Oryzias latipes: one gene and its partner. The protein of the gene in region 1 interacts with the protein of each later gene in a biochemical or structural test. Links are inferred from orthologs where the notes say so. Each region holds a gene or a part of one and is shown in the gene's direction. Other genes may lie near its edges.

Evidence for each region.
Region 2: of the proteins of dyrk1a (region 1) and lin52, one has a biochemical effect on the other in vitro, tested with the Homo sapiens proteins (3 studies listed by BioGRID). The link is inferred for Oryzias latipes from reciprocal best matches to the Homo sapiens genes DYRK1A and LIN52.

Annotation. Positions count from the first base shown.
Region 1 is NC_019871.2:12,323,725-12,328,100, forward strand, and holds the start of dyrk1a (dual specificity tyrosine-phosphorylation-regulated kinase 1A), read left to right. Parts: upstream 1-1,370; 5' UTR 1,371-2,174; intron 2,175-2,756; exon of another isoform or gene 2,757-2,948; intron 2,949-3,876; 5' UTR 3,877-3,933; coding exon 3,934-3,943; intron 3,944-4,376. UniProt on the Homo sapiens protein: Dual-specificity kinase which possesses both serine/threonine and tyrosine kinase activities. Exhibits a substrate preference for proline at position P+1 and arginine at position P-3.
Region 2 is NC_019880.2:13,721,039-13,725,455, forward strand, and holds the start of lin52 (protein lin-52 homolog), read left to right. Parts: upstream 1-1,513; 5' UTR 1,514-1,516; coding exon 1,517-1,550; intron 1,551-1,601; exon of another isoform or gene 1,602-1,661; intron 1,662-2,336; coding exon 2,337-2,390; intron 2,391-3,006; coding exon 3,007-3,081; intron 3,082-3,157; coding exon 3,158-3,195; intron 3,196-3,292; coding exon 3,293-3,359; intron 3,360-4,120; coding exon 4,121-4,204; intron 4,205-4,417. Other genes in the region: pomt2 (protein O-mannosyl-transferase 2), read left to right, coding at 135-246, 432-537.

The DNA of each region.
Region 1 (4,376 bases):
TGAGCTCTGGACTCTGTAGCGCATAGATTGACCAATCTGATTGTTAAGTGTACTGTACTATGAAACAATGCCAGTCGCCTCTCTGCGACAAGTCAGTTACAAATTAGCTTCACAATATAAAATATGAACAAGGAAGTTTGTGTCCCTGAAATGCTGTTATTGTCTGATTTGGTTGCTAGCTGTAATAAAAATCAAGGGTATTTCACTTAAGTCTAACCAAGTAAAGCTGAGAAATACAGGCAGAATTTATCATATTCCATCTCAGGCTTTCATGATGGTTAAAGTCTAAAATTTAACAGTATTAAAAACTATAAATCCGTTAAAAAAAAAGTTAGAATTTTTTTTAACATTTATATTCCAGTTTTTGCATATGGGCATGAAAAGGCCTTAAAATAATTCACCATGGACTGTTAGCACTGTACAATTTTACAACCACAAATTTTTACACAATGAACATGCTTAACCCAACTACTGATTCAGCATTAATTGGTTCAGTGACAAGTTAACACCCATACATCTCCTGCAATGTGGCCAGTACTAATCTACTGCATGCAACTGGAATTTCTTTTTAAAAGCAGCATTTGATTATTGTTGCAGCATAACTCAAACTTACAAGGATAAGGTTGTTTTTTTAAAACCTTTTCAAAGTTTAAAGGATATTAATCTTTAATTATATGGGTATCACTAGTTTTATACAATTGTGATTTGTAAACAGATAACAAAATAGAGCCTTATATTTTAAAATTTTCTAAATTAATGTAGACTATTTCTGACAAAATTGTGATACATAGATAGATAGATAGATAGATAGATAGATAGATAGATAGATAGATAGATAGATAGATAGATAGATAGATAGATAGATAGATAGATAGATAGATAGATAGATAGATAGATAGATAGATACATAGATAGATAGATAGATAGATAGATAGATACATAGATAGATAGATAGATAGATAGATAGATAGATAGATAGATAGATAGATAGATAGATAGATAGATAGATAGATACATAGATAGATAGATAGATAGATAGATAGATAGATAGATAGATAGATAGATAGATAGATAGATAGATAGATAGATAGATAGATAGATAGATAGATAGATAGATAGATAGATAGATAGATATGAGGTTGAAGAGGTAGCAAACAGGGTATGACACAGCAACAGCACAAAAACGACTATACAAAGAAAAATTCACATATATATATAAAGCCATGGCTAGACACAATATCTAACAAAATATGTTGTCTGGTTCACCAAGCGAGCTACATGTGTAGAACTCTGGTCAGTTCAGATTTTATTCGTCATTGGTGCATCCGGGTACTTCCATTTTTTTTGATTGACAGTTGCCATGGGAACAAGCTAGAGCATCGCCATTTTGTCAGGAGGTTTTTTTTTTCCTCTGCTCAGTCTTTTCAAATGTTCTCCCTTCCCGCCGGAATAATGCTGTCAGAAGATATATGTTTGACGTTTTTGGATGTTGAAATGCGCACAGTGGATCGGATCAAGAAAGTCAAGAGGCCGATGTTTTAATTGAGCTGAAATAATTAGGCGGCGCCGCACTAACTCAGTTGTCCGTGTCTCTGGTCCACCGGGCCGGTTCACTGCGCAGGTTTGGACCGCGCGCCATTTTGTGAAAATTGACTCAAAATTCCTAACCAAAATTATCAGAGGACGCGGCTTATGGTTTGTGTTTTCATGATCTGGATATAATTGTATTGTCGCACTAGTCGAAGCGACCGATGTGAATTTTGTAAAGATAGCGTTAAATCGGAATTTGGCATAACGTTTGTTTAGCGGTTGCTAGAATAGTTAGCTTGAGGCCAACCAGGGCAGGTAGCTAACGTTAGCTGCGCTCATTTTGTCATCCAGCTAGCCAGCTCGCTAAGGTTAGCTACTGACTTATGCGTGCTGCTTAGCATGTTGCTTGTCATCGGGTAATATTAACATTTGCTGAAGTTATTTCGGCCTTGGATGTTGCGCATTAAAGCTTGAGCCATGAAGTGCATACCAGATGTGACTGACGGGTTATTTTAGAGCTTGCCGATCTGAGTACAGAGATTGGATTTACTCGCTAACCGTGCAGGGAGGGGAGAATCTCAAGCTGGATAAGTTTCCTCATCTTACAGGTTATTGGACTTTAAATGAAGATCGTGCCATCAGAGGTGAGTAATCGCAAACTGTTCTGTTGCGCATGATCGTTTCATGGCGTGGATACTACATCTTTCGGCGGATTTTTTTCACTCTGCAGAGGGAATAGTTAACAATGATGGACGCGGTAGACAAGGATGGTAGCTGGTGTGGCGGCTAGCTAACATTTTTTCCTGTAAAGCCAGCGTTAACGTTCGCCTCCAGTCAGTAGGTCAGTGGACGGATTTTAACGCTGGGCGGATTTAGTCTTGATGTCGGCTGTAAATGATGTGTAGCAGTCAATGGAAGTCATGTCTGCACAGTGTTAACGTTTTTGCTAACTTTGCTATATCAGACACTGTCATTGTATGATTGAGACCCTGTTACGTTCCGCCTCCGATTTGACTTACTGTCAGTGCGGTGGGTAATTACATTAATACAAGGGGGCGGTTTGAGCTTCAGTGCTCAGAGGCTAACCTGGCTTGGTAGCTTATTCGGCTAACGTGGCTAATGGTTAACGCTGACTTGTTGACGAACCAGTTTGAATGGGCCCCACAATCCGCTGGCTCCACACAGCGTCACTAGCTAACGGTGGGCTGGTGGTGAGAGACCTGCTCGCCTATCCCGCAGTTTCAGGGGAACGACGAGCACGTTAGCTAGTCGGACAGCTAACTGTAATGCAAGCCCATAAACGTTTGTCATCCTCACCGGGATTTGGAGTCCTACATTAGCGATACAAAGAGAGAACGGACGTTAACTCTGAACATGCCTCTCAAATTCCAGCCATGACGAGATTTATCGTATCATCTGTAAGTAAAGAATTTCTCGGGAAAAGCGTCTGTTTGGATTAACGATGGGCTTTTAATTGTTTAGAGATGGGTTTCGTCTGATTCCGCTTTGGAATGGATCTAAGCAGTTGGGCGTGAGAAGATGACACACCGGTTTGATCCATAGGTCTTTAACAATCACTTGTGATGTTATACCGCTCCGAATATAAGCTAACTGTTATTATATTCATGCTTTATTAAGCCCGTTGATGGCATCATGAGCACAGCTACTGAAGGAACTGTTCAGTCTCTTAGTCCTGAACCTAAAGAATAGTAAGACGTTTAAAAGACGCCGAAGCAGCGACGGGACTGCTTTCAAAATGCTTTATCGGCTTCACTTGTTTAAGAAAATTATATTTATTTGTCCACATTGAATTAAGAAAGTATTTTATTTGTCTTTAATGTTTAATCAGTGTTCTAAAATCAAACTTTCAGCTCTTTGTTAATTTTAGAAAGGTAAATAGAATGTGTCTGTGTTTGATTTTGTTTATGCATCTTTCTTTTTTCCTTCTCAAAAGTATTTAAAACTTCCCATATAGGTGACAATTTAAATAGTTTATTGCCTGATAAGTTCAGGGAACCACAAAAATATCCAACCTGATTTAATTTAGTGTCATAACTATTTTCTGATGAGCTCAGTTTGAAGATTTAGATGCTTTTTTTTTTTTTACTATTGAACTTGGTGGTCATACTGATTGTAATCATTTCTAAAAATTAAAAGTCACAATGGATGATTTTGTCCTATTATAAATATGAATTCCTAAAATGCAGCTAACCCCTGATGACTTTGCAAAGTTTTGGATGGCCCTCTCCCAAGCGGTCCTGTCATTCACTTCTTCTCAAGTTACTAGTAAAGTTCAGTAGCCACCAAAAATGTAAACTTATAATAATGTCTTTTTGTTCCTTGTAGTGGGTTGTGGTTTGCTGCTGGACTCTCCTTCCAGGATGATATGAAATTTTGCAGAAGATGCATCCAGGTTAGCTGCTGTATACTTTCCTCCACCACATCTTTGGTGGGGGACTTTAATATTTTTTGGCTTTCTTCTGTCCTCCGCTTACAGTTTTATTCAATCTGGCATCTATCCTCTCCAAATTTTTGTCTCCCTTTAGAAGATAAAGATCTAACATATAATTGAGACCATCAGGATTATTTAGTTTATTTTTTAAATAGCTATGCTACTTTATTAATAAATAAACACACTTTTTGTACAGTTAAAAAAAATGCTGCTTTTTGAGCCTTAAAGGGCACTAGAAATTCTACAAATAAAAATAAAAGAAAGCCCCAATTTTTTTAGGTTTAAATATAACCTCTATATCTAAAATAGAAGTGAAAGGACTCCCACTTATGTGTTTAAATTTTATAAGAAAATAAGTCAAATACGTAGCGCCTTATAGCACCTCAAATATAGT
Region 2 (4,417 bases), on another chromosome or scaffold:
TTGTGTTACAGGAAAAGGTGGGATCAGTCTTTTTGTTGAAAATAACAAAAACAAAACATCAGTGTTTTGCCTCAGAAGAGCATGTGCTGTCAGGTTGGTGCCGTCTTTTGAGGGTTGTCGCCTTGTTTCAACAGGAGTTACACTGGACATCCTTCTTAAAAGCTCTGACCTGCTGCTCCACTCTGTTTATTCTGACCGGCTGAAAGTTGGTGGATGGCTGCTACTTCAGCTCAGCATCCTTTACAGGTGAGACTCATAAGAGAGCCCTAACTTTGCAGTTTATATCAGGTGAAAGTAACTCTTCTCGTAACTTTTTGCATTGCAAAGTGCTAAATACTGTAAGGCAGACCTCATATTTACATCTAGTTGGTGGGAATGTAAAGGCAATAAAGAATTTGTTGATTTTGAGTAGATCTTTGTCTTCCTTCCAGTTTCTACCTTTTTCATCCTCTGTCCTATGGCATGATGGGTCCTCTTGCCCATGAGCCGGGCAGTGCCATGGCAGGCCTGAAGTGGATAGACTCCTGGGACTTCTAGTTATCCTTGTTTGATTAAGATGTCACAGACACGGAGCATTTTGAGCCGAGGGAATTTCAAAACATCAGTTTGAGTCTAAACATTTCATTTGTCTTTCTGTAAGAAAAAATGTGAATTCAGTCAGTTTGGAAAGCAGATTGTAGAATCTTTTAAGATGCACTGGAGTTGTCACCAAGTTGCCTTTAGTGACAAACTAAATTCCATTTGAAAGAGACAGTAGTTGTTGTTTTTTTTAAAGCCAGAACATTTTACATGTATTTTTAGTTGAGATTGTCCTGAGCTTTAGTATTATACTTTTGATTTTGTGTTTTTATTATGTTGATCAATAAATTGTTTTATTCTTGTATTTCATGTCCTGTTATATTTGCAAAATTTACAAACACAAAACGAGATGTGCCGCAAAGTCAAAAAATTGGAAAACTCAATATATATATATATATATATATATATATATATATATATATATATATATATATATATATATATAATAAATTGTACCGTTTTTTTATGTATACTTAAGTTCAAACTTGTAAAATCTGTGAAACATGGGCCTAGTAAACTAAATGCAAGAAATTGTTGTTATAAAAATATAAACTAAATGCAAAACATTCCAAATCTGGGATGTGAAAGTCTTGTTTAATAATTGAGTTATGGTTTTTCTTTCCAGAAATAAAAACTAGAGGGAATAAAAGGTGATTTAAATGTCCCCTAAGGTAAAACCATAAAATGTACCAGCATTGTAACATTTCATTGAGACTATGGTGGGCTTAAATAAGGGTCTTTTCATTAAGTTATGACAGTAATGTTCGTACTACAATTTCTAAGACGATATAAATCTTTGAATAAAACGAACAGTAATCTTCTGTGCCTCTTGTAAACAGCGCGAGCACCATTGCCGCCCTCTAGCGGCGTAATTTTGAAAAACATCGCCACACCTCAAAACAGAGCGCGGCCGCTGCGATTGGTTGTTGCATGTCACATGATTATTTTGAAGATGGCGTCTCCAAATGGAGGTAAATTTTAATTCTTCTCTCCGATACGCTTTGAATACATCGCAAATGTGACAGTTTCGAGACATTTAAGTCGTTAACAGTTATAACGCAGTGTAATGTGAACACCCAGAGGTAACGTAAAATTTGTCGTAGGACTAAATTCTTGTTTAATCGGTTTGTTTTTCTTCCTTTGTTTTTCCTGATTCTGGGACTGACATTGTCCGCCGTTGATGATGACAGCAGCAGTCCAGATTGTTCTTCTTGTTGCTTCGTTTGGCCGTTTGGCTCGAATTAGCATCAGTGCTACATTTAGCACTTAGTTATTTTTCTCTACTTTAAATTAGTAGTAGCTGTTTTGGTTGCTTGTTAGATTTTGTGTGACTGTTCGACTCCTTTGATTGAAAATGGAATCAGTCTGCTATTAAGTATTATGTCCGTAATGAGTATCTTTTAATGTGTTAAAAATGTTGAAAGCAAATTCTAAAAAGTTTAACAGTCTGCAGAACCAATAATGTTATTAGTTAGTAATTCACACTCTGTCAAGAGTTATTGAAATTTTGGATACAATTCTCTATATTGGTGAAGGACCAGTGTTCAGATTTGATAGCAAAAGTAATTGTTGATAAGAAAGAAAACCCTTTATACATATACAGACAAATAAGAAAGAAAAGTGTCTCTAACAAGTGTGCCAAGAAAAGATCCCCCATACCATCACACCACCACCACCAGCAGCCTCAACTGTTGATACAAGGCAGGATGGATCTATGGTTTTATGTTGTTGATGCTACCATCTGAATGTCCCAGCAGGAATGGAGACTCTTCAGACCAGATGTTTTTCTAATCTTCTATTGTCCAGTTTTGGTGAGCCTGTGTGAATTAAAGCTTCAGTTTCCTGATCTTAGCTGACAGTAATGGCAGCATTAGGTGTGGTCTTCTGCTGCTGTAGCCTATCTGCCTCAAGGGTTGTTCAGAGATGCTCTTCTGCAGACCTTGGTTGAAACCAGTGGTTCTTTGAGTTCCTGTTTCCTTTCTATTAGCTGGAACCGGTCTGGCCATTCTCCTCTGATCTCTCACATCAACGAGGCATTTCTGTTTAAATGGCCAAACATATTTTTACAGCAGTGTAAGAGTTATTAGTAGATGATCAGATCACCACATGACTATGACCTCTTTGAACATTTTAATTGATCAGTGTTTGTACGAATCTTAAATGAATAAAACCATTTATTCTCATTCGAAACTGCCTAATTTTAAGACCAGATAAATATTAGATTTTTTCCTCTCTTTCTGTCTAGATAAAACATGAAACAAAAGTTGTTTTTAGGTTTCAATTTTTGACCTGTTTATAAAAAGTTACTTTTTAATTTTTTTTAAATTAACATTTGGCTGAATTTTATAGTTGACCACTGATTTCCAAAAGCATAGAACTTAAAAAACTAAAGAACATGTCAAAGTGAACCACTGTGTGCTTCTGCAGGGGAGGATTTTGAGATTTCGTTGCTGAGTTTTGAGAAGCTGGACAGAGCATCACCTGACCTGTGGCCAGAGCAGTGTAAGTTTCTATCCTCCCACGCCCAGCTGATAAAAAATTACTTTGTAATTGATTCTTTATGTGAATTCTCACACAGTGCCTGGAGTTGCAGAGTTTGCGGCAACTTGCAAAAATGTGAGTTTAGCTCTGATCTAAAGATGCAGGATTGACTCTGCATAGACTGATTGGAGTTGAGACTTTGTATGTTGTTGTTTTTCTCTTTTTATTGCAGCCTATCACCACCTCTCCTCCAAAGTGGATGGCTGAGTTGGAGAGTGAGGACATTGAAATGTTGAAAGGTTGGTTCAGACAGCTGACATTTATCCTGTATAAACCTTAGGGAAAACATTAAAAACCCACTCTGATAAGAAAAACCGTGTTTTGAACATGTTCTTGTGGCATTTGATATCTTGACATCTGATAATGGAGGACACGTATAAAGAAAATTAAGCTTGAAATTGCATTTCTGAGTTCTTATTTATTCAAATCGTTGTGAATCAGGAGCAGATGAAAAAATGCTGTTTGAAATTTCTTATTTCTTAATCAATATTGCTCGCCATTTTCGTTTCTAAGGTTAGGTTGGGGGTGTGAGTGGCTGTAAGCTAGCAGTAGAGTGTATAAACTGATGATCTACTGCAGCTCTGCTCTAACTGTCCTTAAAAATCACACAGTGTTTTTTTTCTATCTCGGCAAAAAACGGCATAATCATTCATTAAAAGACCTCTGGGAACGCCTTTTAACCCTTGTGCTATCTTAGATGACCCCACCCTTACATTGACGTGTTCTTCCGACCATGACAAAGGTGGATAAAGGTGGAAAGATTTCATGTAATCCATGGACACCAGTGAAGATCATAAATCATTGAAGAAAAAAAGTTCAGCGCACTGTCTAGTGGGTCTACATGACCCAACTCCCAACGTTAAAGTGCCTAGGATAGCACAAGGGTTACAACAGATCAAAAGATCAAATCCGAGTGGGACTTTAAATAATAATTCATGTTTCTTTAGCTAATTAAGTATCTCTAAATGCTTTTATTTAGTGTGATGTTATACCTCTGCAGAGCTGGGAAGTCTGACTACAGCCAATCTGATGGAAAAAGTCAAAGGACTTCAGAATCTGGCTTACCAGCTGGGTTTAGAGGAGTGTAAGTATAACAAAGACACTTCACCACTAGGGGGGGCTAAAAGCATTTCCACGCAATTCTCTGCCGCTGAAGTCTTTGGCTGCTTCCACATTCAAATTCCAAACAGGTTGACCTCACTTGGATTTCAAAATGATAATTTAGCTTTTTTTTTAATTTTCTTTCTTTTTAGATCACATTTGATTTACACAACAGGAGTAAATTGACTTCATGGTT